Linked DNA regions of Cricetulus griseus. The protein of the gene in region 1 purifies or fractionates together with the protein of each later gene. This does not show direct contact. Links are inferred from orthologs where the notes say so. Each region holds a gene or a part of one and is shown in the gene's direction. Other genes may lie near its edges.

What was found.
Region 2: the proteins of Usp4 (region 1) and Dcp1b purify together in Homo sapiens (co-immunoprecipitation; 3 studies listed by BioGRID and IntAct, with this or other methods). This does not show direct contact. The link is inferred for Cricetulus griseus from reciprocal best matches to the Homo sapiens genes USP4 and DCP1B.
Region 3: the proteins of Usp4 (region 1) and Ctnnb1 purify together in Homo sapiens (affinity purification with western blotting; 3 studies listed by BioGRID). This does not show direct contact. The link is inferred for Cricetulus griseus from reciprocal best matches to the Homo sapiens genes USP4 and CTNNB1.
Region 4: the proteins of Usp4 (region 1) and Rbbp8 purify together in Homo sapiens (affinity purification with western blotting; 3 studies listed by BioGRID, with this or other methods). This does not show direct contact. The link is inferred for Cricetulus griseus from reciprocal best matches to the Homo sapiens genes USP4 and RBBP8.
Region 5: the proteins of Usp4 (region 1) and Prpf3 purify together in Homo sapiens (co-immunoprecipitation; 4 studies listed by BioGRID and IntAct, with this or other methods). This does not show direct contact. The link is inferred for Cricetulus griseus from reciprocal best matches to the Homo sapiens genes USP4 and PRPF3.

Annotation. Positions count from the first base shown.
Region 1 is NC_048597.1:216,539,587-216,545,094, forward strand, and holds part of Usp4 (ubiquitin carboxyl-terminal hydrolase 4), read left to right. Parts: intron 1-297; coding exon 298-415; intron 416-1,736; coding exon 1,737-1,910; intron 1,911-4,596; coding exon 4,597-4,755; intron 4,756-5,508.
Region 2 is NC_048601.1:25,696,522-25,702,492, reverse strand, and holds the start of Dcp1b (mRNA-decapping enzyme 1B), read left to right. Parts: upstream 1-2,086; 5' UTR 2,087-2,114; coding exon 2,115-2,264; intron 2,265-2,386; exon of another isoform or gene 2,387-2,602; intron 2,603-5,971. UniProt on the Homo sapiens protein: May play a role in the degradation of mRNAs, both in normal mRNA turnover and in nonsense-mediated mRNA decay. May remove the 7-methyl guanine cap structure from mRNA molecules, yielding a 5'-phosphorylated mRNA fragment and 7m-GDP.
Region 3 is NC_048597.1:228,006,783-228,012,290, forward strand, and holds part of Ctnnb1 (catenin beta-1), read left to right. Parts: intron 1-2,136; 5' UTR 2,137-2,190; coding exon 2,191-2,203; intron 2,204-2,549; coding exon 2,550-2,777; intron 2,778-2,937; coding exon 2,938-3,191; intron 3,192-3,308; coding exon 3,309-3,547; intron 3,548-3,637; coding exon 3,638-3,839; intron 3,840-4,928; coding exon 4,929-5,073; intron 5,074-5,508. UniProt on the Homo sapiens protein: Key downstream component of the canonical Wnt signaling pathway.
Region 4 is NC_048595.1:224,693,816-224,699,932, reverse strand, and holds the start of Rbbp8 (DNA endonuclease RBBP8), read left to right. Parts: upstream 1-2,248; 5' UTR 2,249-2,388; intron 2,389-6,117. UniProt on the Homo sapiens protein: Endonuclease that cooperates with the MRE11-RAD50-NBN (MRN) complex in DNA-end resection, the first step of double-strand break (DSB) repair through the homologous recombination (HR) pathway.
Region 5 is NW_023276806.1:60,656,502-60,662,009, forward strand, and holds part of Prpf3 (U4/U6 small nuclear ribonucleoprotein Prp3), read left to right. Parts: intron 1-48; exon of another isoform or gene 49-49; coding exon 50-180; intron 181-1,920; exon of another isoform or gene 1,921-2,016; intron 2,017-2,655; coding exon 2,656-2,802; intron 2,803-4,341; coding exon 4,342-4,425; intron 4,426-4,594; coding exon 4,595-4,815; intron 4,816-5,508. UniProt on the Homo sapiens protein: Plays a role in pre-mRNA splicing as component of the U4/U6-U5 tri-snRNP complex that is involved in spliceosome assembly, and as component of the precatalytic spliceosome (spliceosome B complex).

The DNA of each region.
Region 1 (5,508 bases):
CATGGAAGCTCTTAATCTTGATCTTGGTACCAAAAGTATCTTTTCCTGAAGTCATTGGCTAGCCTCCTAGAAGAATATAAAATTAGTCACCAGAATCTAAAAGATGAAAATTCAAATAGCATTTCTCCCTGTACTTACTGCCTGCTGACATGCCAAGTAAAGGTGGGGAAGTCTGGAGGACCAAAGCAGGTAGGGAGCATTTACACACTGAGACTACAACCAGGCAGAGCTCCAAAAGTCAGTAAGGGCATATGTCCAGCACTTGCTTTTATTGCTCATGTGGATTGTGTTTTTCAGTGGATCTGGCTTCTCTGCTTCGTATAATTGCCAGGAGCCCCAATCGCCTCATACACAGCCTGGCCTCTGTGGACTTGGAAACCTGGGGAACACCTGCTTCATGAACTCTGCTTTGCAGGTAGAGGGGATAGTGGCCAACTAAATAAAACTGTGGGTGCGAGTTTGTGAGTGAAGAATGGGTCTTCTCTTAGATCACCCCAGTTCACCTCCTTTTAGAGTCTCTGCCAGGGTACCGCCTACTGTTTTGTTCAGAATGGCTTCATATTAGTGTTTGTAGGTCCTGACACTGTTGTTTGCTTAGTTGGTTGATGTTCTTATTTTGAGACATGGATTTTTATTTTCTTTCAAAAGAAAAAGGAGAAAAGGACTAGGGTTATAACCTAGTGATAGAGGTCTTGCCTAGCATCTCAGTACTGGGTTCAATCTCTAGCACCGGTACCACAGAAACAACAAACCCCAGTGTTAGTTAGCACAGTAATTTATGAGTGTAATCCCAGCACTTAGGGAGATCTCAAAAACAAACCCCAGTGTTAGCATAGTAGTTTGTGAGTGTAATCCCAGCACTCAGGGAGATCTCAAGTTTGAGGGAGATCTTATTTGAAAATTTATCTTTATTGATTAATCAAGTATTTATTGGGTATGTAATAAAATTGTGATATATGTGGGTGGCCAGGAATTAAGAGTCCAACAGCAAAACCAGGAGATCATGCCAGGCAGCACTTGGGAGGCAGAGGCAGGTGGATCTCTGTGAGTTTGAGACCATCCTGTTCTACAAGAGCTAGTTCCAGGACAGCCTCCAAAGCCACAGAGAAACCCTGTCTGGAAAAACCAAGAAAAATAAACAACAACAACAATAAAAACCCTAGGAGATCATGTTCTCTAAGAATGCCCTCAGTTGCCAGGCAGTAGTGGTGTAGACCAGACCTTTAATCCTAGTACTCGGGAGGCAGAGGCAGGTGGAGTTTGAGGCCAGCCTGATCTACAGAGTGAGTTCCAGGACAGCCAAGACTACACAGAAAAACCCTGTCTCCAAAAAAAAAAAAAAAAAAAAAGATTGCCCTTAGCTTTGAGGCCAATTGCAAGTTCAGGGTTTCCTAAGAGCACTCTCAATTTTTATAATTTGCTAGAAGGACTTAGGAATTTACTTAAAGCTATCATAGTTTATTCATGATAATAGTTTATGATGAGGAAAGGATAGAGATTAAAGTTAGCCAAGGGAAGAAGCAAATAGAATGTCCAGGAGGGTTCCAAATGCAGAATTCTGGTATGGCTCTGTATATATGCAAACCCAGCACTTAGAAGGCTGTGGCAAGGATTGTCCAGAGTTTGAGATCAGCCTGGTCTAAGAGTGTGTCAGACAAAAGAACTTGGTCTGTGTTTCTGTCTTTCTGTTTGTGCTGTGTGGAAGGGTTATGAGCTCTGATTTTGTTCTGTTTCAGTGCCTGAGCAACACTGCCCCCCTGACTGAGTACTTCCTCAAAGATGAGTATGAAGCCGAGATCAACCGAGACAACCCTCTGGGGATGAAAGGGGAGATTGCAGAGGCCTATGCAGAGCTCATCAAACAGATGTGGTCTGGAAGGGACACTCATGTGGCACCTCGAATGTTCAAAGTAGGTTGAGATACATTACTTTTTTTCCTCAAAAGAAAAGATTGTTTTTACATTGTGTATGCATGAGCACACTCTCATACATGTGTGCACACATGTTTGTACCATAGCACAAGGGTAGAGTTTAGAGGACAACTTGTAGAATTGTTTCTCTCTACCACAGATTCTGAGGATCAGCCTCAGATGGCCAGGCTTGATGGCAAGCATCTTTATCTGCTGACCTGGCTTGTTAGATTCCCTTCCCTTCCCTTCCTTTTTTTTTTTTTTTTTTTTTTTTTTTTTTTTTTTTCCTTTTTGTCTTTTGGAGACAGGGTTTCTCTGTGTAACAGCCCTAGCTGTCCTAGAACTCAACTTGTAGATCAGGTTGGCCATGATTGAACTTACAGAAATCTACCTGCCTTTGTTTTCCCGAGTTCTGGGATTAAAGTTGTACACCACCACCGCCTGATTCCCTGTCCCTTTTTTGTTCATTTGTTTTTGTTTTTTTGTTTTTTCGAGACGGAGTTTCTTTGTGTAGCCTTGACTGTCCTAGAATTTGCTCTGCAGGCCAGGCTGGCCTCACATTTACACAGATCATCATACATTAAAAAAAAAAAAAAAAAAAAAAGCTGGGCAATGGTGGCACACCCCTTTAATCCCAGCACTTGACAGGCAGAGGCAGGCAGATCTTTGAGTAGAGGCTAGCCTGGTCTACAGAGTGAGTTCCAGGACAGCCTGGGCTATACAGAGAAACCCTGTCTCAGAAATAAAACAAACAAAAAGGTAGAATCTAAGACTCAAAAGTTCATGTTATCAGACCCTTCTTTTCTGTCATTCAGAGCTGTGGTATTTGTTTTATTTTGTTGGTTTTGAATTTTTCTGTTTTTTGAGACAGGGTCTCACTGAGATGTTCTCAAACTCATAATCCAGTTGCCTTGAAAGATGTGTACCACTGGGCCTGTCTGACTCAGTACTGTGGGGTTGTTTGTTTGTTTGTTTGAGACAGGGTTTCTCTGAGTAACAACTCTGGCTCTCCTGGAACTCTTTGTAGATCAGGTGGTCTTGAACTCAGAGATCTGCCTGCCTCTGTGTATCTTTGGAGCCTTTCCTGGAACTTGCTCTGTAGACCAGACTGGCCTCAAACTCACAGAGATCCGCCTGCCTCTGCCTCCCGTCCACCACTGCGCAGCAGAAAAGCAATTCTTACTCATATTTTTTTCTCTCAATGAGGGAGTCTCAAGTGGTTGGTTAATGAAGACTCTTTCTTCTCTCTCTCTCTCTCTCTCTCTCTCTCTCTCTCTCTCTCTCTCTCAGCTTTATTTTATGTATCTGCATGCTCAGTCTGCATGTACACCTTTATGCCAGAAGAGGCCATCAGATCCCACTAGAGACGTTTCTTAGCCACTGTGTGGGTGCTGGGGATTGAACTCAGGACCTCTGGAAGAGCAGTAGTATTGTGCCATCTCTCCAGTCCCAAATACTCTCTTTCATCTTCTTGGTCACATTAATCCTTGAGAAATACAAGTAAATTACTGTTTCTATACTAAATCATAAAAAAAAAAATACTAGAATTGGATGGGTGCACACTGGGTTCATTCCTATGTGAATAATTTATAAATAGCATTTTGGGCTATTCCTCACTTGACTGATGGACATAGTTAATATCTGCAATGTCTGGTAGTAGCCATTAGCCCACGTGCTGCTGAGCATTTCTAATGTGGTTAGTATGACCAAGAGTCAGAATTTGGGGGGCTGAAGAGATGGCTTAGCAGGTAAGAGAACTGGCTACTCTTTTAGAGGATCCAGATTTGATTCCTAGCACCTACCATTGGTAACTCCAGTTCCAAAGCCGTCTTCTGGCCTCCATGGGTACCACATAGGCACACAGCACACACACACACACACACACACACACACAAAAAAAAAAAAAAAAAATCCATAAACATAAAGTAATAATTTTCAAAAAGAATCTCAATTTTAAGTTGTATTTAAGTTTTTCACTGGTGCTAGCAATTTAACCCAGGCTTTTGTGCAAGCTAAGCGAGTACAGTTGAGCTATACCCTAGCTCCTCTTTATTTTCAACTTCCTTGTATTTGAATAACCTCTGAATTAGTGGCTAAAGTGTTAGACAACACATACAAAGCAGAGCTTGTCGAATTTTAGGCTGTATCACGGTCTCTGGGAAGGCTTATTCAGGAGATTATGGGCCCATCCCTGGAGTTTGTGATTGAGCCTCAGTAGAGTTTGTTTTTGATAAGTGCTAGGTGCTGCTGCTTCTGCTGACTGGGACCACGTGCAGGGTTGCTGGAACGATCAGCACTGACAGAGCTGGGGATGTGAGGGCCGTTCTGTGTGTGACTCCTTTGTTTGATGCAGAATCATTTCTAAAGTTTTATAATTTAATCCTGAACCACAGAAGGACATTGGAGTGGAGCATCAGACTTGGAAATGTCAACAGAGAGTGCCTTCTCTACCCCTGTCAGAACAATGGCCTCATGTCAGGCCTGCTTTCTGATCTGAGCTGTCTTTCTGGGCCCATTGGCCTCAGGATGGCTCTTGGGGCGTTAGTTGGATGTTCACTCAGGTGAGGTTTCATACATTCCGGTGGACTGTAGAGCAGTCGTCATGTCCGCTGCCCTCTGACTTGTTTACTTTTTCTTCTTCACTGATTCTTTATTATACCTCCTGACATAGTTGCTTCTGTTGTAGACCCAAGTGGGACGTTTCGCCCCTCAGTTTTCTGGCTACCAACAACAAGATTCTCAGGAGCTGTTAGCCTTTATTCTAGACGGATTGCACGAAGACCTGAACCGAGTGAAGAAGAAGCCCTACCTGGAGCCAAAGGATGCCAGCGGGCGACCAGATGCGGTATGATATTGAAGCTGTCTACACAGTGTCCCAAAGAGACTTCCTTCTATTGGCAGCATGGGAACAGTCTTCCGGTGTTGGGTTAGTGCGAGGGCCCTGGTGCCTCTCGGTATTACTCATGACAGGGATGCATTCCTAGTCAGAAAGGAGCTAACTGTAGTCGCCTTTTCCTTTCTTTCCCAGTGCTCCAGGGCCTTTGGAATACTAGGCAGGCACTCTACCACTGGGCTACATTCCCAGCCCTAACATACTTCCTTCTGGGTTTCTTCAAGTTAGCTAGTTTGTTTAGTATTGCATTGGCAAGCCAGTAACTTCAAGAGTTGTAAAAACTTGAAAGTGTTGGCAGTATGCTCTTAGCATTGTTACTGCTCTTTGCAACTCAGCTGGGATATTTGTTTGTGGTACCGATGATAAAACCTCCAACCTCACTCCTATTGGGCAAGTGCTGGATCGCATTAGGTGGCCTGGACTGGCGTATTGTAGCCAAGTATGGCCTGGAAAGTTTGAGTCTTTTGTCTCCAGTGTACTAAACTAGCCTCTTCTCTCCGTGATTATTAAAATAATCTCATTAAGACTAAATTTAGGGCCAGGCAGGTGGTGGTGCACGCCTTTAATCCAACATTCGGAGGCAGAGGCAGGCGAATTTCTGTGAGTTTGAGACCAGCCTGGTCTACAAGAACTAGTTCCAGGACAGCCTCCAAAGCCACAGAGAAACCCTGTCTCGAAAAACCAAAAAAAAAAAAAAAAAAAAAA
Region 2 (5,971 bases), on another chromosome or scaffold:
TAAAGCTATTAAATATAGATATGATTCATGAGAAATAGCTGTCTTCTCATAACAAAGTGAGAAAATAGTATACATTTAAAAAGCATCTTTCATGTATGGCTTAGTAGACAATGAGATTATTTTTGGCTCTACCTACAATCTCCTGCCATTATTATCTCCTGTCACATCTGTGAACAAGCCCTGGCCTCAGAGACAATGTAAGTGTACAAGGGATACCTCTTTAATGCCCTTTTCAGGTAGCTATGAATATTCTTTGGTGATTGACTTAGTTTGGATTTCTATTGCCATGAAGAGACACCATGATCACCACAACTCTTATAAAGAAAAATATTTAATTGTGGTGGCTCTCTTATATTGTCATCATGGCAGGAAGCATCAAGGCACAATGCAGGCAGACATGGTGCTGGAGCTGAGAGTCCTTATTTACATTTTGATCCAAAGACAACAAGAAGTGGACTGAGATACTGGGCAGTAACTTGAGCATATATGAGACCTCAAAGCCTGCCTCCACAATGACACACTTCCTCCAACAAGGCCACACCTACTCAACAAAGCCACACTTTCTAATAGTGCCACTTCCTTTGGTGGCCATTTTCTTTCAAACCACCACAACAATATATCAAAAATTAACAAATTTCAGTTTCATAAAGGTTAGTTATCTGGAATCCTATCTATCAACTTTTCATATTTTGTGGCAATTGAAGTCTGTTGGTTCACCTTGTCCTTGAATGGATCTCTTACCAATACATGATTTTGTGATACCATTTTATTATCTGAAAAACATTGAGTCACTGAGAGATATCTTTCAAATGTCGACAGTTTCCATTAGACATTAATGTTTTTAAAGTGCACTCATCAATATCACCACTGATCTCATCAGAAAAGATTTAAGTATTGAGACACTGTAAAGATCTTGGCCAATTTCTTAAAAATTAATCTCAAAAATTATCATTGGCAACAATAAGTATCCCTTGTTCTTGGAAGTGACAGGAAAATCTGTTTTTGAAAAAGTCTGTCCAGAGCCAGGTGGCACATTGCTTTTAATCCCAGCATTTGGGAGGCAGAAGCAGGGCAGATCTCTGAGTTTGAGGCCAGCTCCGTCTGCAGATTGAGTTCCAGGACAGCCAGGGCTACTCAGAGAAACCTTGTCTTGAAAAAATAAAATAAATAATTTTTAAAAAGAAAAAGCCTGTCTATCTGAATAACCATAATGAGCCCATCTTCTTTCGTGCTAAACTAATGTTCTGTGGAAGTAAAAACAAAACCCTTGGTCTGGGTGGTGGCACACCGGTAATTCTAGTTACTGGAGACCCCAAGGCAGGAGTGGGGGTAGATGGAAGCCCTCCATGACTACATAGCTAGACTCTGCCTCAAGAAACAAGGCCCCAAATCAACAAAAACCAACAATAAAACCACAAATCCAGCCCAAGTCAAGCACAGAACATTTTTCCTAGAGTCAAATACGGCGTGCAACAGCTCTGCTTTATCCATACTTTCTATTTTTCCCACATTGTTTTAAAAAGTATATCCAGGGTTGAATTTTAACAAAATTGGGAATTTTATCGAGTGACACCTGGCTTCAGCTTCTTGTCATTTTCCAGTGAATGCACAGCAGCAAAAATACCCTGACCAGTGGTACAGTTTGGGGCCTGCCTTGGGTCAGTATCAGTGCACCGGCCCTCAGTGTGCACACAACACACGTGTCTCAGCATTGTCGTCGACGGTCTTAACATTGCAGCCTTCACGGATTTTGGGGTGCACCCTTTAAGAATCTCCAGAATTGTTCCTTTTTGGCGTTATTATATTTGATTGGGTTTGGCATCGGAAAGCCAAAGAAGAGCTATGCCAAGGGGTGGGCCACATCCAAGAAGGAAATACATGCACACGGCTTGGAGGCTCCTGAAGGAAGAAACAGCAGAAAAAAACCGGCTTCGGAAAGCAAGCCTGGGCTTCTCGTTGCCAGGGCGACGATCCTCCGCGAGAGGGCCCGGCCGTCGATTGGCGGAGCCTAGCCTGGGTCCCCAAGAGCCGGAAGGTCGCCCAGCTGCGGTCCCTCGCTCGGCGGTCGATTGAGGGGGCCTTCCTGGAAGCCGGGCAAGAGGGCGGGTGGGAAGATGGCGGCCGCGGCGGCCAGTGGGCTGCCGGGCAAGGGGCATGATATCAGCCTGGCTGCCCTGCGGCGCCACGACCCCTACATCAGTCGCATCGTGGACGTGGCCAGCCAGGTGGCTCTGTACACTTTCTTCCATCGGGCCAACAAGTGGGTGCGTGCGGACGGCGGGCCGGGGCGGGGGCGGGCGTGCTGGGCCGCTGGGGCGGGCGAGCGGGGGCGGGCGGGGACCCGATCCTGGAGGAGGGCGGGCTGCGCGACCCACCCCACCCGCAGGTGGGGAAGATGGATCGGAAGGTGTGGCCCGCGCCGCCGCGAGCCCCGCACAGGCCTCGAGGCCGGAAGACAAGCGCTCCGGCTGGGCTGCGGAGGGCAGAGCAGAGCCCCTCGCTTAGATGGGTGCAGGGAAACCCAGCCTCGCCGAGGGGGAGAAGCCAGAGTCCAACATTCCACCCAAGAGCGAGCTTGGGGGAATAAAGAGGAGAGAAGTGGGTATGTGTGGGACGTCCCAGACTTTGTGTAGGAGTCCAGGGTTCGTAGCCTAACCATTTCAGCGAATTTCACAAGACCGAACCCCAGCCTACAGTAACTGGATGAAGTTTAGTTTCCCTCACAACTAGAATGGAATTGGCACGGGAGACAAACTAGTTCTGGCCTAGGTATTGACTCACATCACTTATAAACCATACCTTTGGATATAAGCGTGGCAGTTCCCCCCTCCTTTGTGACTTTTGTACCAAATACCATTCACCTGTATAAACCATCGGTCTTCATACATACAGTTCAGTGGGGTATGAAGAACAGCTTGCAAGTATCCAAATGATTTCTTTCTTTCTTTCTTTCTTTCTTTCTTTCTTTCTTTCTTTCTTTCTTTCTTTCTTTGCTGTGTTCGCCAAGTCCGAAACAAACATCAAAATCTATGCAAGGAAAACTTTCATTATTTAGCAAATTCAGTAGGCTGTAGTAAAAACGACCCGGGAACCATGGACACAAAAAGAATAACGAAGGAAGTGGAGATGAAGCCTGAGTCAGGCTCCAGGTTCCATCCCCGGCACTCGTGAAAAAAAGACCAGGAATTATTAGGATAGTTGCAAAGAATTTATGTCTGTCCTCCTAGTAGCCAAACCCGAAGGGGAAATGTGCAGAGTTCTAATGTCCAGGGTTCTGCATAGTCCTGGCTCGATTAACGGAGGCTGTTTTTCATGGTCACCAGAGGAAATTACCATTTGGGTCTTTATGTGAAGGGAGTTCCTTCACGGAAACATGTGTGTTTACGTGAAGATAATCTACGTGTAGGTGCTTTACTTCTCTCCAGAGCATCCGTTCTCAACCTGCCCATTGCCACGCCCCTTTAATACAGTTCTTCATGTTGTGGTGACCACCCCCCACACACACAATAAAATTATTTTTGTTGCTACTTCATAACTATAATTTTGATACGGTTATGATCGTAGTGAAGATATTTTTGCAGATAGAGGTTTGTAGGGGGGTCGCAACCCTGCGATTGAGAACCACTGCTCTAGAGACCCATAATGTAGTTGGAAGTAATTCTGTAGTATTGAGTAGGACCCAATAAAAGTTAGTGGTGTAAGTTGACTCAGTGGGAGGCTCAGAAGCTGTTGAATGTACAGGGGAGCATCCCCCTTCGGTAGCAGGTTTCTAAAGCCTCTTCCCAGCCCTATGTGACAGAGACCTTACAGAAGCCTCACAGAGGTGTACCAGATACCCAGTGAAGCCCAGCAACCAATGCTACATAGAAGCTGTCACAATGCATTATTTACAGGAGTTTTGTTTTCCTGCTTTCTGGATTTGTTTTCTCCAGACAGGGCATAATTCATTCAGTAAAAGGTCATTCTTTCCAAGTACTAATCTTCCAGACTGTGGTCGCCTGGCAGAGGAGAGGGACCTAGTTCAACAACAGAGTAGTCAGTGGGGGCAATCAAATTGTCACTGCTGTCCCCCTGTGCTATCACTCAGATCTCCGGATGAGAGCCTTTCAGACATAAAGTTAATCAGAAGTATAAAGAATGGAAGAGAAAATATTTGCAAAAGGTTGGGTCTGAGTAGAGGAGTCCTTATTACATTGGAAATTAACATCAAGTATTCAGACACGGAATGACGGGTACAGAGGATGAGTCCCTGTAAAAAAGACCAAGGGATTGCAGATAGAGTGAAGTGGTAGAGCATTGCTTAGCAGGTATAACATGTGCACAGCTCCAGCCTAATTCCCAGGGCAGACACAAGTTCACAAAGGGATTAAGAAGAATTTTTCGGTGACTAGAATAGGAATTTTAGAACCACATCTACTCCTTTTTGCCAAGAAAGACTCCTTCCCCAAAATACCCTATGTACCAATGAAAGACTATTGCTGGTATTGTTTCTTACTTTGCACTCAGACCACTTGTTCTCAACTGGATTTGATTTCCTCCCACCCACTCCCCAGTGGCATTTGACAGTATCAGGAAACTTTGAGGATGAGGGAGTTGGTAACATCTGCAGAGTAGAAGCAGAGGTGTTGCCAAATGCCCTGCAGTGAGCAAGCATCGATATAGCTAGTCCAGAACATGAACGATGTGAGGCTGGAGGCGAGCCTGAGAACCACAGGTGTCCCTTATTTCTGGTTAACAGTCCTGAGTTCCCTGTGCATCAGAGTAACTGAGTTGAGAGGTGCAGTGGGTCAGACCAGAACTCTGGATGAGACAGCTGTGAAAGAGACAAAACTGCAAGGTGGCTTGACTACCTCATGTGTGATAGAGGCAGCTTCAAGTGGATCCACTTTTTATTATCTTAGAATATTCAGTGCAATTGCTTTCAATTGTTCAAGATGTATCAGTGTATTTACTTCTAATAACTTTTGAAACAGCATTATCTATACTCTTGATTATTTTGAGCCCCAAACTTGGGTGGGTGGTGGGTGGGTGGTGTGTGTGTTGTGTGTGTGTGTGTGTGTGTGTCCTTTATTTTCAGAATTTAGGCTAAAATACTCCAGAACTGAGATCTTACAAAGTTATTTCCACCACCTTACTTGGAGGATTTGAGGAGAACTAGTTAAAATCCCATTTTAACTATTGCCACACCCTAAATTCACTGATTGTACAGAAAAAAAAAAAAAAAAACTGACTGCCTTTGAAAATCAGTTTGAGCCAGCACAGCTCTACCACCAAAATACATTTCCAGAGCTCCTTTTAGCCAAGTAAGAGCTCTTAAATTTTTTTTCCCATTAAAAGATGTGATTGTGTAAGTTACCTTTTCGGTGGAGAAGGTGACACAGAACAGTAAATGAATTATCCTGGTGTGATCTGGCAGAAACCTCACTCTAGGCTCACATTGTAATTACTGAGTCATAAGTCCTTCCCATGAGCAACTCTAAACAAGACTCCAATTTGAGAATTGTTTTTGTGATTTATAGCTAATTCTGATTTTAGATTACTCTAAGGGACTAAATTTTTTTTTTTTTTTTTTTGGTTTTGAAGTAAAGAGAATTTTTTTGTTGCAAGCAAAAGGGAGATCAGTTGAAAGCAATTAGTTTATGTGTGCTGAAAATCTGAAAGGTCTGATTGCATTCCAAAGAGAACAGACCAATACTGCAGAGTAGGAAACTGCTTTGGTCTTATAGCCAAGGAGCCCGACAGTGTGTGCACATAGGTTTCTACACCGGTCTCAACTTCAGTTCCCTTCAGTGTAACTCAAAGTACCAAATACTGGACTTTCACAGTTTCCTTCTAAAGCCGATGTATATTGCCTAAACACTTGCCAGCTGTGTCAGTTCAGCTCTAAAGGGGGCCTGAGAATGTGCATTTCTAAGGGGCTCCCAGGTGATGATGCTGCTTCTCATCTGGAGTCACTCTCCAAACCCCCTGC
Region 3 (5,508 bases), about 11 Mb from region 1:
TTTTTTTTGTTTGTTTGTTTTTATGTTTGAGGTCTTTCCATGAAGTGTTTCAGGAGTATTTTGCAACTTTGTTAATATTTAACTTGCATTTTTTTTGTTGTTCCAAGTTTGATGGGCATACTAGATTAAATATTTGTGGCATCGACTTAGCCCATTTTAAAAGCATTGTCTGTTTCTGCTGAGTTTGCTCTTCTTGAGCTCTTCCTTTGATGTTGAAGAGTCTCCCACAGTGGCAGATAGAAAGCATGGATTACTGGGAACTTGAGATTGGTCCCTTAATGATTGGCAGGGAGAGCTGGAAAAGAGCCAGCCCTTGTCCTGAAGTTCTGACGAGGACAAGTTTCCTTTGGGATAAGACTGCCCCATTTTACTCCTCTCAGAATAGGGTGGATTTAGTTTCTTTTGGTGGGTAATGCTACAAATTCTTTTATTTTTGGTTCTATCTGTAGAAAATGTTTTGGCCTGCATGCTGCTAGTTACCTGACAGCTCCCTTTCTGCCTGTTTTTACTCTACTACTTGGTTGATGTTTGTTCTCTCCTACCCTACAGGTTGCTGTGAGGAGGTTTTTATGTCACATGGGTTTTTGTGTGCTAGTACTGTTATGCTATAACAAATGTATGTTATATGTTGTGTTCAGGACTCCTAACATGTGCAGATACTGTGAGTTTTGAAACATGAATCCCCACCCCACCCCGTAAAATTACTAATAAATCACGCTCCAGATCAGCAGGATTTACCCAGGAAGAGATTAAGTGTTTGGGCTGTGCACCATAAGGGGGAAACGGTCCCCAGGCCTGTTTGTATTGGCCAGATGAGGAAGAGCTGCACCTACCTGAGGGCTGGCATGGCAGCACTAGGTAATGTGTGCACAGTGGGCCACTCTGGTCTCTCCACACGCTGTGGACGGACATCTTTGTTGATTGAGATCGAAAGCCGTGCCTTACCATATGGCTGTGCCCTCATTTTAGGATACAAGATTCTTTTTTCTTTCTTTCTTTTTTTTTTTTCTCCCTTTTGGTTTTTCGAGACAGGGTCTTTCTGTGTAGTCCTGGGTGTCCTGGAACTCACAGAGTTCCAGGACACCGTCCAGCAAGGCACAAGATTCTTGAGGGAGAGGTCCCCCTCAAGTGTCAGTCTGTATGTGGAGCCTAAAGCAAGGGCCCAGCTTGAGTTTACTTGCCTTAATCTGGGAGGAGTGATGAAATCAGGAGGACAAGGCAGAGGGAATGCTAGTGTGGGTTTCAGAGTAACAGTTTCTCAGAAAACAAAGGGAAGGAGTCAATGTGCCTCCCTCTGCTTAGAGAAAAAATGGTCATTAGTGTGAGGTTTCTGTTCAAACATTCAGAATCACCTTTGCATGAACTGAAGATGCAGTCATACCTAAAGGTCCTTTATGCACGCAGTGTTAATTTGTAAGGACACCTTGTGTTAGCTGTAGTGCAAGATGACCCTGCTTGGGACACACATTAATAATGGAAATCTGTTCATACAGTACCTAGAGACCACGAACCCCAAGCTTCCATCTGGTTCTTAGTGATTTGATATTTTTCTTCAATATTGTACAGTAAAACTAAAATGCAGACATTACTTAGACTAAAATTTACCTGTGAGAAATGTTACATTCTGTTGTTGATCCTAGGGGCAACTGCACCAGTTGCCATGGTGTGTACATCACTGCTTGAACTCATACAAATCTTTTGATAAATGTATTTCTATTTGTGCTTCAGACTTTGACTTGACAAGTAATTTTGCTTCTTAAATCGCCATTCTGATCAGTGTTATATCAGCAAAAACAACTGATTTGTTTTATAAAAATTTGGTGTTTTTTAAAAACTCCACTGTCTCCATGGCCAGCCCAGTCTGAGTGTCTTTAGCCTTCAGGAATTCACAGAGCAGTTGAAATTTGAATATTGTTCCTTTTGCTGGCTTTCATGGGAGAGCAAAGGAGTTGTTCTCTCTCAGCACCTGTGTGTCTGCTGAGACATGGCCTTCACTCAGAAGGTCAGTGATGGTGGAGCTGTGTTTCAGGGTCTGTGTTTTCAGTGTATCTCATGCTTTTGGTTTGTGTTGGTGGGACATATAACACATGTGGCAGGCATCTGCTTAAATTTTAATGAATTGATTTTTCTTTTCAGGATTATCTGAAGCTTAGTGTACAGCAGCTGTGACACCACACTCGTGCGTGGACGATGGCTACTCAAGGTCTGTGCCCCGGGGAGCTGCTTGTGGCTTCTGTATGCTGCCTTAGAGTCCCTGCTGCTCTCTTGCCCCTGCCGGCTTTGGTTTGCCAGCCTACCTGTTGCTGTTCTGCTTACTACTACCAGCTTGGTGAAATAATCAGCAAGCTACCCGTGGGAGTCTAGCTTGAGTGATTCTGGAACTTGAATGCCACTGGGTTGCCCCTGTTCTACCATGGAGCACACACTGGCTATCATTCTGATCTCCTTGGTTGCTGAAATACGTTTCTAAATGTATTTCAATGGGTCATTGTCATGGATATTTTATTCAGGTATCATTTTCAGTGCACTAAATTGTTTTGTTTTTACAGCTGATCTAATGGAGTTGGACATGGCCATGGAGCCGGACAGAAAAGCTGCTGTTAGTCACTGGCAGCAGCAGTCATACTTGGATTCTGGAATCCATTCTGGTGCCACCACCACAGCTCCTTCTCTGAGTGGCAAGGGCAACCCTGAGGAAGAAGATGTGGACACCTCCCAAGTCCTGTATGAGTGGGAGCAAGGTTTTTCCCAGTCCTTCACTCAAGAGCAAGTGGCGGGTAAAAAGCATTTGTGTGTTTAAAAGCTAGAGTTGGGTTTCTTAGCAAGGGTGTGTGGTGGCAGAGACACACAGGCACAAGTGAAAAGCAGAGGAAAGTCGGGTGCATTGTTACTTAGCACTTAGGACAGTGAAGTCTCACATGGATTTTCCTTTCCCAGATATTGACGGACAGTACGCCATGACTCGGGCTCAGAGGGTGCGAGCTGCCATGTTCCCTGAGACCCTAGATGAGGGTATGCAGATCCCGTCCACACAGTTTGACGCGGCTCATCCCACCAACGTCCAGCGCCTGGCTGAGCCATCCCAGATGCTGAAGCATGCCGTTGTTAATTTGATTAACTATCAGGATGACGCGGAACTTGCCACACGTGCAATTCCCGAGCTGACAAAACTGCTAAATGATGAGGACCAGGTAAGCAGTTACACAGCTTGCTTCCCGTTTACTTTGAGGGAAACTGAGAGGGTGACGATGGCTGTTCGATGTCAGTATTTGGAAACTAATGGTGCTTCTTCACCCCCTGTACTCTAGGTGGTAGTTAATAAAGCTGCTGTTATGGTTCATCAGCTTTCCAAAAAGGAAGCTTCCAGACATGCCATCATGCGCTCTCCTCAGATGGTGTCTGCTATTGTACGCACCATGCAGAACACAAATGATGTAGAAACAGCTCGTTGTACTGCTGGGACCTTACACAACCTTTCTCACCACCGTGAGGGCTTGCTGGCCATCTTTAAATCTGGAGGCATTCCTGCTCTGGTGAAAATGCTTGGGTAAGAAAGTGGTCGGTCACATAACCAGAAAGGTGGGAAGAAGAAGGGTGCCAGTATTGGCTTGACAAAGGTTCTTTTCTTTCTTCTCAGGTCACCAGTGGATTCTGTTCTGTTCTATGCCATCACGACGCTGCACAACCTCCTGCTACATCAGGAAGGAGCTAAAATGGCGGTGCGCCTAGCCGGTGGACTGCAAAAAATGGTTGCTTTGCTCAACAAAACAAACGTGAAATTCTTGGCTATTACAACAGACTGCCTGCAGATCTTAGCTTATGGCAATCAAGAGAGCAAGGTAAAGTCATGAAAGCTGTTAGCATGGGGCACAGAGGCTCCACAGGCTCCAGACTCACTGACCTGCCCTTTGTGTGCACCCTAGAGGAGCTGCACTCTGTCCTCTCAACATTGAGTGTCTGTGTGCACCGTGCTGTGCATCGCACTGAGTGGACACGAAAAGGCCTCCAGAGTCTTTACCCTTGAGATAATTGCCAATCTGACTAGAAGGAAGGGGTTCAGTACACAGAAGAAACATTGTTCTGAGGGCCTTGTGGAGATGCTTGAGAGGCAGTGAGGTGTTTATAGTAGGTGGAGGCAGGTGAGAGAGAGGAAGGCATGTAGGGAAGCCCTGAAGGGGAAGGAGGGTGGTGTGGGTGGGGCTTTCAGAGTATAGTGCTTGAGAAAGTTTTGGGGTAAGGCTGTAAACACATAGTCTGGGTAGACCTTGTGAGGCTTGTAGGGCATACCAAAGACCAGGTGATGTAACTTTGAGCATAGGTATGAAATAGATCTGCTTGTGGAAATGTTTTCTGCAGTGTTTTCAGAAGGTCAAGGGCAGAGGCTATGGGCTCTTAGTGCCCATTTTCAACTGGCAGTTCTGACAACTTTCACTACTACAGGCAAACATGGTTGCTTTTCATATTCTTTTTCTTTATGTTCCATTTGGGGAGATGGCCAGAGTTGGTGTTTTTTTTTTTTTTTTTTTTTTCCTCTAATGGTTTATTTCTTATTAGTTTACGTGCATTGATGTTTTGCCTGCATGTGTGTCTTGGTCGGGGGTGGTATGTCCGATACACTGGAACTGGACTTAAGAGACAGTTGGGGATGCTGGGAATTGATTGAGTCCGGGTTAGTAAGTAGTGCACAAGTAGTGCTCTTAACTACTGAGCCATCTCTCCAGCCCAAGTTGATGTATTCTTGAAAGTGTTGGCATGCCTGGACTTGAGCAGAATACTGTAGTATAGAAGTCACATACCTAGGACCCCCCAGTTTGAGACCTTGCGTCAGAGAGGTCCAGAGATACACTTTGATGTGACACAGTAACTTGCTGATGGGTTCCTCTCCAGCATTTCTGGAGTTGTATGACACTAGTTGTACGTCTTCCTAGCTGATCATCCTGGCCAGTGGTGGACCCCAGGCCTTAGTAAATATAATGAGGACCTATACTTATGAGAAGCTTCTGTGGACCACAAGCAGAGTGCTGAAGGTGCTATCTGTCTGCTCCAGCAACAAGCCAGCCATTGTGGAAGCTGGTAAGTACTCCCGAGTCTGTGCTCACAGGGTGCATTTGCTTGTCCCTGGATGACTGAAGTTTTTAAATGATCCTTGCTATGCCCTGGTTTTCCCCCCAGTATTTTTAATGGGACAACTTATATATGGTAATTTATAGTAATTTATGCTGTGCATGTGGAGATAGGAGAAAAGACATAGATGGTCTGTACTGAGCCTCTTGTTTGAGTCCAAGAAAGTCGTTCACAGCTCTCTGGCTTCCTACCAATAAGTGCCTGAGAGCATCAGCCTCAGCTCTGAGAGGAGGAGGAGGAGGATGAAGGCCTAAGGCCTTGTGCAGAAGACCATGCTAAGGATGAAACACAGGGTTAGCGCCCCATCTTTCTGCTTGTTGGACACTTCAGAGTTTAGGGTTGGAGGGGTCACTGAGGCAATTGCTCACAGGAGTATTGTGTGGG
Region 4 (6,117 bases), on another chromosome or scaffold:
CGCCTGCCTCTGCCTCCCGAGTGCTGGGATTAAAGGCGTGTGCCACCAATGCCCGGCTTAAAGGGGGAGGTTTTTTATTGTAGATATGAGAGAGAGAGAAAAGCCAGCAAACTAAACAAGGCCATAGGCGTCTTCCAGTGAGGAGAGCAGGGAATAGAAAATACATAGTGAAAGGAGCAGGATCAGAGTGAGCAGGAGAGGAAGGGAGAGAGGCAGGGAACATAGGGAGAGAAGCAGGGCTATTCCGAGAATTAGTAGCTAGAAAGAGTTTATGGAAAGGGAGGAGGTGAGAAGGGCTGACATGCTTCATGGACTTCGAATGTGTACCAGCTTACTTATGACACTGAGGGAGCCTGGAGGCCAGCATCAACTTTGGTATGTTAATAGGTGCCACAGGTTGCCCTATGTCCCTTCTGCCAGAGGTAAGGGAAATGACTCCTTTTGGTAGGGGGGAACCAGCTTCACAAGTTCCTGTGGAATGCTGGCTTTTACCTGCCAGAAATCTTCCTGTGTTTGGACTGCCTTTGGGAGTTTGGTGAGCTAGAGTTTCATTTGGATATTACAGGTAGGACTGTCAGAGTTCGAGGCCATAGCAAATCTGAGGACAGCCTAAATTGCATGTGATCTGTCTCAACAACAAACAAAAATAAGAGATTATGGTAGGCCGGGCATTGGTGGTGCACGCCTTTAATCCCAGCACTCGGGAGGCAGAGGCAGGCGGATCTCTGAGTTAGAGGCTAGCTTGGTCTCCAGAGTGAGTGCCAGAATAGGTTCCAAAGCTACACAGAGAAACCCTGTCTCGAAAAACAGAGAGAGAGAGAGAGAGAGAGAGAGAGAGAGAGAGAGAGAGAGAGAGAGAGAGAGAGATTATGGTAGTTTATGGAGTCAATGATGAAAGTAAAGGGATGGATTTAGAAGATGATTTCATAGTTATGACTGACAGGATTTAGTAGGACATTTAAATGAGATGTTTTCATGGATTCTGATTTATATAAATGGGTTACATATAGAGAGGTGCTTTGTTTTGGTCTTGGTTAAGGCAAGGTCTGGCTATGTAGTCTAGGCTGCTGTTAGGCTCACAGCAATTGTCCTATTTCAGCCTCCCGGTCTACCAAGGGCTGGGGATTATGGGTGTACCATCTATACTTCGTATTTCTGTTAGAAACTATAAAAGTTTCACTGAAAATTAGGACCTGTATGTTGTGCCAATAATAGTATAATAGGACTGGGTATATGTAACTGTGGTAGAGTGTTTGCTGGAGGAAAAATATAATTCATTTTTCATTCTTCAAGTCTTAAGTGAGACAGGGGGCTGGAGAGATGACTCAGCAGCTATGAGAGTGCTGACCTAACATTCACAAAGCCCTGGGCTGGATGCCCAACACTGCCTAAAAATAAACTGACTTTAGCCGAGTGTTGGTGGCTTACGCCTTTAATCCCAGCACTCGGGAGGCAGAGGCAGGCGGATCTCTGTGATTTTGAGGCCAGCCTGATCTACAGAGTTCCAGGACAGGCTCCAAAGCTATACAGAGAAATCCTGTCTCGAAAATAAATAAATAAACAAACTGACCTGGTGTGGTGGCTACTACATACCAAATTATAGCATAATATCAGCACTCAGAAGAAGGAAACAGGAGAATGAGAAGTTCAAGAACATGCATGGTGAGTCCGAAGCCCGCTTGGGGCACTCAACATTTTTTTTTTAACAACAAAAACACACACAAAAAGTTTCAACAGCCTGTTTACAATCAACTGTAGACACTTGTAATTTCTTACTCCACACTTGCCAGAAACTCATCATTTAACTCTGGCAGCATCGTTTTGAAATGTGGCGTTCCCACCCAGTCCCCTCGGATGCCATCACTAAACCGTAGGCAACTGAGGCTGAAAACCAAGAGCGAGCCTATCCATCCCAACCGTCCACCTTGACTCCCCGTGTCAGCACTGACTGCCAGGAAACGTGCTGGAGTCAGACACAGTCAAGGGCTCGCGGTCGGTCACGTTCACAACAGGTCGGCTGGACAGTTTTCCAGGGACTTCCACGAACGTTGCCGGAGTTTGTCATGCCTCTGGGGACCCTGGACAGTTCACCTCCGAAGCACCGAGCACCCTGATCCACACCACTCCGCCGCTCAGCCGCCGCCCAGCTGCTGGGGGAAGGGGCGTGGCGCCGGGAACTCCCGCGTGACGTCACGTGACGCCGCAGGGCTCCAGGCCGGGCGGGTCCGCCGCCCTCGGGCCTTCCTCCGGGAGGCTCTGGCCGTCCCCGCCGTGGGTTCGGCCGCCTGGCGAGGGGAGGACACGGAGGGTAGTAGCGAGCGGCGGGGCCTTCCCGGCCCGGAGGACATCCACTCTCCGCCTTGGGCTCTCCAGGGAGGCTCGGAAGCTGTGAGTACGCGGGCTTTCCTTCCCCCTAGCCGGCGTGCAGGGTCGGAGCGGCCACTTCCGGTCAGAGCTGCGCTCCAGGGAAGGCTCGGGCGGCCGAGGCGCGTGCGGCACCCGCCGAGGGAGGCTGGGTCGGGGCCGGCCGGAGGACGCGCGCCGGGCTCGTGCTCCACGGTCTTTCGGGCTCCCGCGCGCCTCCAGGGCGAGCCCCTCAGCGCTGAGCCCGCCCCGCGCATGCGCCATCTGCGCCGCGCGCGCTTTTCGCAAGCCCTCGGTCCCGAGCGTCTTGGCGTGGGACGTGGGGCGCGCGGGGTGGCTGAGGGGCGTGTGAGGAAAGGCGAGAGAGCCGCGGCGAGTGCGCGCTTCGCTCGTGAGAGGCACGCTGAGCGCCCTGGGCGTTTGTTTGTTTCCCTGGTGTGTGTGGTGTGACAGCCTAGCCCTGCCGAGCATCCCCAGGGTGGAGGCTGGCGATGGCGAGGACACGCGCAGAAGGATGCGTCCTTTGTGTCCGCCGAGCCGGAGACAGGCGTGTTGTGAGAGGGAAGGGCGCAGTGCCAGGGAGTAACGGTCCAGAGCAGAAAGAGTGGCTCCGAAGTGCTGGGTGAGCACGGGGCACGGAAAGGATGTTGTGAGCCGAAATTTGCTAAGGTGGTATTGATGGTGGTTTGTGTGGCCGTTTAAAAAGCAAGCAAGCAAACAAAAAACAGCTTAGCGGCCGTGGTGGCCGCAGGTTTTTGTGAGTTCGAGGCCAGCCTGGTGTACGTCGAGGCGAACCAAGGCTAAATAGCCTGACCCTGTTTGGAAACAGCAAAAGCACTGAATTGTTTTAACTGCCTCGTCATTGGGGCGTTTCCTAAAGGATACTTAGGTTACACTAATTTTAACTGTCAGTTTTAAGTTTTTCATTAAAGTTATAAAACTTTTAACTTTCTCTCCCCCTTCCTTCCTCCTTTTCTCCCTCCCTTCCTCCCTCTCTCTCCCTCTCTCCCCTTCCTTTCCTTCCTCCCTGTTTCCCTCCTTCCCCCCTTGAGACAGGATTTCTCTGAGTAGCTCTCAAAATTTGCTCTGTAGACCTGACTGGCCTCGCACTTAGAGATTTGCTTGCCTCTGCCTCCTGAGTGCTGGGATTAAAGTGAGCACCACCACCCCGCCATGCTTTATTTTTTGCTATAGAGAAGTATAGTGTATAGCCATGCCCTATCTGTATTGGAGTTAACAATTTTACCTCTTTGTAGATATTTCACCAAAATTGTTAATAAAAGTATAACTATATGTTACTATACATAACTAAGTGCAGTCTCGTATTGACCATAATGTATCTTTTATAGCTAAGTAGTTAAACACAGGCTTGTGAAGCAAAATTATATTAACACCCTTCATCTCACTTTTAAAAATTAATATGAAACGAATGTTCACAAGGGAGAGACATCAGCATTATTAATCCTTTCATGGACACATCCATCACTTAGCTTCAATAATTGCCAAAATAAGTTGTTGTTCTTTCATCTCTCCACCCACACCCATTTTCAAGCCAGTTCCAGAGACCGTTAGTTTATCTCATAATATTCCTGTAATAAATAGAGTCTTTCAGTGAAAAAAGAAAAATGGGGCTGGAAATGTGTCTCAATGGTAGACTTCTCCCCTAGCATGCCTGAAGCACTGGATTCTTTTCTGAGCACCATAAGAAATAAAAATTTTTAAAAAGATTAAGTATCCCATTTTACCGCATTCAGTTGGCATTGTACAAAAATTAACAGCCATATTGTTCTAGAAATGTTGAACTTAATTTTTTTCCATTTGTACAGGGGTAGGGCACTGTATTAAATATGTAAGGTCTTAAAAAAAAAAAGATGGGATTTTGAGAGCCCATCCCATATGAAGGGATGCTCTCTTGACCTGGACACATGGGGGAGGGCCTAGGCCCGGCCCAGGATGATGTGGTAGACTTTGGGGAGCCCCTTTTGAGGGCCTTACCCTGCCTGGGGAGTAGAGGGGGGATGGCTAGGGGCAGGTGGATGTTGCGGGGGAGGGGAGGGAGAGGGAGAAGGGATTGACATCTGAAGCAAGCAAGCTTGTTCCTAATTTGAACTAATAAAATAAAAAAAATAATAAAAACGGAAAAAATACATAAAAAGATTAAATGAACACATCACTATTGAATCCAAGAGATTTAACAATAACAGTGCACCTAAGAAAATAAGATTATTTGAAATCTATATGTATTCAGCTTTTTGTGATTCTTTTTAGAAAGTCTAACTGCAGTTTTTGTAACACTTAGTCAATGTGTGTATTATTTCAGTAGTACTATACAGGTAACCAAGTGGTTACAAACCGTTTTTGTTTTGTTTTTTTGTTCTGAGACAGGGTTTGGCTGTCCTGGAACTCAATCTGTAAGACCAGGCTGTCCTTTAACTCACAGTCTTGTCTTTTCTTTTAAATTTTAGGTTAGAATACAAAGTAATGGGTTTCTTTTCTTTTCTTTTCTTTTCTTTTTTAATGTGTGTGTGTGTGTGTGTGTGTGTGTGTGTGTGTGTGTGTGTGTGTGTTTTGTTTGGTTTTGTTTTTCAAAATAGCATTTCTCTGTATTGCCCAGACTGTCCTGGAACTCCCTTAGATCAGACGGGCCTGGAACTCAGAGATGTGACTGCCTCTGCCTCCTGAGTGCTGGGTTTAATGGTGTAAGCCACTATATCTGGCCAAAGTAATGGGTTTCTTCATTATGCAGTATTATCAGGTTGAATGCATTATTGCTCCTTTGAAAGTTTTGTTTTAGTTTGTTTCTTAGACTTACTTTTATTTTTACGTGTATGGGTGTTTTGCCTGCATGTATGTATCACATGCATGCCTGGTATCCATGGAGGCTAAAACAGGGTGTCAGATTCCCTAGAACTGGAGTTGCACAAGGTTATAAGCTGTTATGTGGGTGCTAGGACTTGAACTTAGGTTCTCTGAAAAGGCAGCCCGTGTTCTTTAAGCACTGAACCATTTCTCTTTCCTGAAAGTTGTTTTAGTACAGAGTCTATGTGTCTCAGGCTGGCCTCAAACTCTAGCTGAGAGGAGAGGATGGCCTTGAACTCCTGATCCTCCTGTCTCTGTCTGAGTGCTAGGATTATAAGCATTCACTACTAGGCTCAATTTATGGGTGCTGGGAATGGAACCCAGAGCCTTGTAAGTGCTCGATACACACTTTTTCAACTGAGCCACAGCTCCAGACTTCATATGTGTCCTGCTCTCCTCCTTCCCCTCCTTTCTCCATTGCTTCCTCTCATCATTTTTGTTGAGAAGGTCTTGTGTAGCCTGGTTGGCCTGGAACTTGCAGCAGTCTTCCTCCCTCAGCCTCCCCAGTGCTGAGATTTAGGCATGAGTCACCATGCCCAATGGGTTACTTTTGTAATGGTAGCTAATTAATGGTTTCAGGTAAGAACACAGTTTAACATATTTATTAAACCACTTGAGTTTCTTAATAGTCTGTTACTTCTATTTAGGGGCTACATAAGTTGTAAAGTTAATCATTAGTCGTTACTATGAAAGAGTCACAAAGTACCTTTACCCTAATAGCTTTGTCCCTCTAAATAGAGTATTCTTAGAGCTTTGCTGTATGTGTATCTTACTGACTTGTTCTCAGAAATATACATGGATCCTCCAATGCTGTAGTGTGCCAACCATCTGCCTGGTTTTGTAACCCATGTACAGGCAAATGATTGTCAATCAGGACTCTTTGAGAATGTTTTC
Region 5 (5,508 bases), on another chromosome or scaffold:
AACTGTATACTTTTACCTCTTCAATCTGTGGCTTCTTTTTTCCTGTCAGATCACCTGAAACCTTTTCTTGATGATTCTACTCTCCGATTTGTGGATAAGCTGTTTGAGGCTGTGGAGGAAGGTCGAAGCTCTAGACATTCCAAGTCTAGCAGTGACAGAAGCAGAAAACGAGAACTAAAGGTAGGTTACGGTCACTATATAATAATAAGCTCAGGAGTGTTTGGAATAAGAAATGTGCTGGCATACCTGCTTACACTTTGACATCTACTATTAGAACACCTAGTGTGAGGGCTACGGTTAAAATTCAGTAATAGAGAGCTTAGTGCTTGTCCAGCATGCATGAGGTTCTGGGCTCAATCCCAGTACTGCAACAAATAGAGTTAAAAACAACAACAAAATAGAACACCCAGTGTTCAAGAGGGAGCCTCAGACATTAAAGTAGAAGGGTAGGATTTATATTATCTCCATCACCCTGAACCTTTCTCAAAAAGGTTCATTTAAAATAGTCCAAGGAAGTAATTGATAGCTTGTCCTTTCTTTATTCATACATTTTATTTTCACCATTCCCTCTTTACCTACTACCTATAAATTGATTGATCTAAGAATCTTGGTCTACTTAAAGTCTAGTAAGTTGATTCATCATATCTCCACTGCTTCCTGACTGTGGACCTTAGTCTTGTTCATTAATAAAGATTTCTATTTAATATACTTGTAGATAAGATGCCTGAAACTAACTGCCATATAGTCCACATTTGTTGTATGTGGTTACTGGCTCCATGAGTGGGATGTGTGAAAGAGTTAGAAATACTCCCTTTTCTGCTAAGTACTTATTTTGTGGTTACAGTATAGTCATGGTCTTTTTATATATGATCTTATCTCAGTTCCCCAATGTAGCCCATTTCTCTGTCTGACTTTCTTTTGCCTCTTTTGGGTTTTTGGTTGGTTTGTTCTGAGATAGGGTCTTACTATATAGCTAGCTCTGCCTGTCTTGGACTGTGATTCTCTGAGTGCTAGGGTTACAAGTGTGTACCACCATGATCAGCTTGTTTTTGTCTTTAATATGTTTTCTTTTGTTTATGGATTTTTTTAAAGATTCATTTAAAATTTTTATTTATGTATGTGTATACACACAGATGACCATAAAGGTCAGAAGAGGGTGTCAAATCCCTTGGGGCTTGAATTACAGGTAGTTTTGAGCAACCATATATATACGTGCTAGGAACCACACTAGTCCTTGGAAGAGCCATACTCACTCTTAACCTCTTAATTATCCCTCCAGCCCTTGTTTTGGGTTTTTGAGACAAGATCTTGCCACCAAGCCCAGGCTGCCCTCAAACTCAGGTTCTGACCCAGCCTCCTGAGTGCTAAGATTCTAAGCACGCACCATCATACTCACTCTAAAGTGCTTTAGATACCTCGGTATCAATTGCTGGTCCTGAGACACAAAAAGATAAGTAGTGACTGCCTGGGGCTTGGGGCCACATTATAGGTTCAAGACTCTATATAGAAACTCCTTTCCCTTTGGTTTTTACAGCATAGGGTGATTAGAGAAATCAGATATGGTCCTTACCTGAAATTAGTCTGCAATTTAAAAGTGAGGAGTTGCAGTAAATCAGCCACAGATTATAAAACCTGAGTAACAGTTAGAACTGATTATAGAATTTCAGACTTGTGTTAACCTTAAGAGGTATGATTAGTTCACAAACAGATCACCACACTGAAGATTATGTTATGATAGTACTATGCCACTGTAAGTGCCAAGCTCACGCTCTGAATGCATTGACAACATTGGGTGGGATAGTAGAAATGGTTTCTTGAGGGAGAATCTAGATAGCATGGGATATGGGTCCCATTTTTGGTCCATTCAAGTCCCCACTCCACACAATATATTATGGGAGAGTCCTTTTTCTTGAACTGTAGGAGTTCCAGGAAGCGCTCGCCCCTGGCTGAGGATATGTCCTTGCAAAACACGAGCCCTCCTAGTGAAGAGGGGATGTCACCCAAAGCCTACCACCGGTGTGTACATTTGCTTTTTCCCATTGTCCCTCCAGTTGGCCACTCTTGGTCCTATTAAATTCATTTTGCAAATTAGTCAACATATTTGAGTTCCCATTGTATGATAAGAAGGAAATGTTATTGGGGAATACTAAAAAAGAAAAAGCCTCTTTTCTGAAAGAACTTAGATTTTAATTGGGAGAAAGTATTACCTAACACTTGGCAAACAGTGTCAGCAATATAATGTAATCTAATATGAACCAAGCTGTAAGTGCTTAAGAGGATGTGGAAGAACAGTTGATCAGAGTGGGATGAGATGATAATGAGCAAAACTTCCTGGAGGAGGTGAGTTTTAGACAGGATTTATGGGAAAGGATTTAGAGGAAGATCACTTCAATGTAGGCAGTAGCATTGGCAAAGATCTTGAGATGGGAACATTATAAAAACATGGGGATGAAATTTGCTTGAATGGGGTAGGAAATTGGTGAAGTTGGGTGAAATGGTCCACTTGGTGGAGAGTCTAGAAGACCCTTTGAAAGCTGTATGAAAGATTGTGTCATATTCCCCTGGGAAAACACAGGATACTTGTAGGGTCGGGATGGTTCTTCCCTTTTTCCCTAGGGAGGGATACGATTCTTCTTTCATCTTGGGTTCCCTTAGGAGGTGTTCGGTGATGACTCTGAAATCTCAAAGGAATCATCAGGGGTAAAGAAGCGGCGAATACCCCGTTTTGAGGAAGTAGAAGAGGAGCCAGAGGTGATCCCTGGGCCTCCATCAGAAAGCCCTGGCATGCTAACAAAGCTCCAGGTTAGTTAAAAGAAGCAAAGTGATGTTGTGAGTTGAAACAAAAAACATTGGTCCATGTTCACTGTGATCTTCATTTGAATTAGTGTTAACCATTTGGGGAAGTTTTTCCTGCTTTATATTCTAGCAGTCCTTGGTTTGATCAGAAATAGTCCAACTAAGGATTATTGAAATTGTATGTATTGAATACCTAGTGTGTACATCATTGTTTACCCAGTTGTCTACTTTATCATCAGGGAAATTAAATGAAATGATAGCACTAGACTTGACTATGTCCTAAGAGTCAAGGACTCTTTCTGAACTTCATTAGGAAACAACAAGGGGTTTATAGAAACAACTCTAAAGAGGCTGGCACCATTTCTCCATGGTTACCTACAGTAGAAATTGATCTGCTGATAGCATGATTATTTTTTGAGACAAGGCTTACTATTTAGCCTGGCTGGCCTGTGATTCCCTGTGTGTAGAACAGACTGGGCTCATACAGTGATCTGCCTGCCTCTGCCTCCCATGTACCGAGATAAAGGTGTGTACCAACGTTCCTGGCTGGTAAACATGTTTTTTTTAAAAATAATGCATATTTCATTTTATGTCTACATGCTTAAGTATGTGTATGTACACCATGTGCATGTAGGAACCTGTGGAAATTAGAAGTGTCAGATCCCCTAGAACTAGTTAGGAGATGGTCATGAGCCACTGAGTGGGTGCTAGGAACTGAACTCACGTCCTCTGCAAGAACAGTTGGTGTTTTAGCTCTTAACCATCTCTCCAACCCTGCCCCCACTTGTGTAGTAATTTGGTAGGAAGTGTGCATACATTACTTTCCCCCCTTTTAGATTCTTGGGAGGTTAAGATATTCATAACCTTATCCAATGTAATACAGGCAGGAAGTGGCACAGTTCGAAACTCACTACCTGAGTTTCAGTCACCATAATGGTGTATACTACCTAATATACCAGTCCAACCTTGGGGGGAAAGATTGAAAAATTGTAGTGCTTAATTTTTTTAAATTATTTCTTTAAAAGATTTATGTATTATATATACAGTATTCTGCCTGCATGTATGCCTGCAAGCCAGAAGAGGACACCAAATCTCATTATAGATGGTTGTGAGCCACCATGTAGTTGCTGGGAATTGAACTCAGGAGCTTCAGAAGAGCAGCCAGTGCTCTTTACTGCTGAGCCGTCGCTCCAGCTCACTTAATCTTATAGGCTTATCTTTGCTAAATTTTCTTTTTTTCCTCCCAAGACGGGGGTTTCTGTGTAACAGCTCTGGCTGTCCTGTAACTCGCTTGGTAGACCAGACTGGCCTCAGAGTCACCTGCCTCTGCCTCACATGTGCTAGGATTAAAGGCGTGAACCAGCATTGCCTTACTCTTTACTGAATTTTCTTCTCTAAGGTGCAGGGGTGTGTGTGGGGGGGGTGGGGGGTGAGTGGGTGTGTGTAACATTCACAAACTTTTAGGTCTCTAGAACTGAATGCATTTTCATTGGGAACATTTATGGGAGAAATTGATCTTTTCCAATTTTTCCCTCTGGAGAACAGATCAAACAGATGATGGAGGCAGCAACACGACAAATTGAGGAAAGGAAGAAACAACTGAGTTTCATTAGCCCCCCTACACCTCAGGTATTGTGTTCAGATTATTCTGAAAGAATATTTAGCACAAGATTTGTTGTCATTCGTTCACATGAGAATCCAGAAAGTGCCACAATTACCTACCATAGTCTATCAAGGTGTGTATATATTTGTATGCCTATTTCAAACCCTTGGATTTCTTTTAATCTTTATCTTATAGCCAAAGACACCTTCTTCTTCCCAACCAGAGCGACTTCCAATTGGCAACACTATTCAGCCCTCCCAGGCCGCTACTTTTATGAATGATGCTATTGAGAAGGCAAGGAAAGCAGCTGAACTACAAGCCCGAATTCAAGCCCAGCTGGCTTTGAAGCCAGGGCTTATTGGCAATGCCAACATGGTGGGCCTGGCTAATCTCCATGCCATGGGTATAGCTCCACCGTGAGTATCTTTCACAGAATCCCTTATCACTTCTGAAGTTTTAGGAGTAGTAAATTAAACGAAATTTACTTGAATGCTACTGATTTTTACCCCCAAAGAACATTAAGTAATTTCTTATCATTTCATGTTTTTGATATATGGTCTAAATACCAGTTACATTTATTTTTGGCTTTGTTGATGGGTTTGTTGTCTGTTTATAATTGGTAGACTAAAATAATATTTTTCAGCTAATATTGAAGGTAAGAGTAGAATCAGGTTTCTGGATTTATCACTCAAGAACTTGAGCCATTAAACAATATTGAGTAAGACCATATGTTAGAACAGATGAGATGTAGTGGCACATACCTGCAGTTCCATTGCTCAGGAAGGAGAGCCAAGAAGAATGAGGCAAGTATGAATTCTAGCCAAGTCTACATAACAAGTTCTAGGCTAACCAGGACTACACAGCAAGACCCTGTCTCTGTTTAAGACTGATTCAAGAATTTAGGTGTAGATGTAAGAGGTGTATCCCAGTAGTAGAACATTTGGCTAGCACACAGGAGTCTGTGGATTCTTAATCCACAGTACCACCACTATCACCACGAAAAAAGGTAGGGGTTGGGGCTGGAGAGATGGCTCAGTGGTTAAAAGCACTGGCTGCTCTTTCAGAGGTCACAGGTTCAATTCCCAGCACCCAATGGCAGCTCAGAGTTG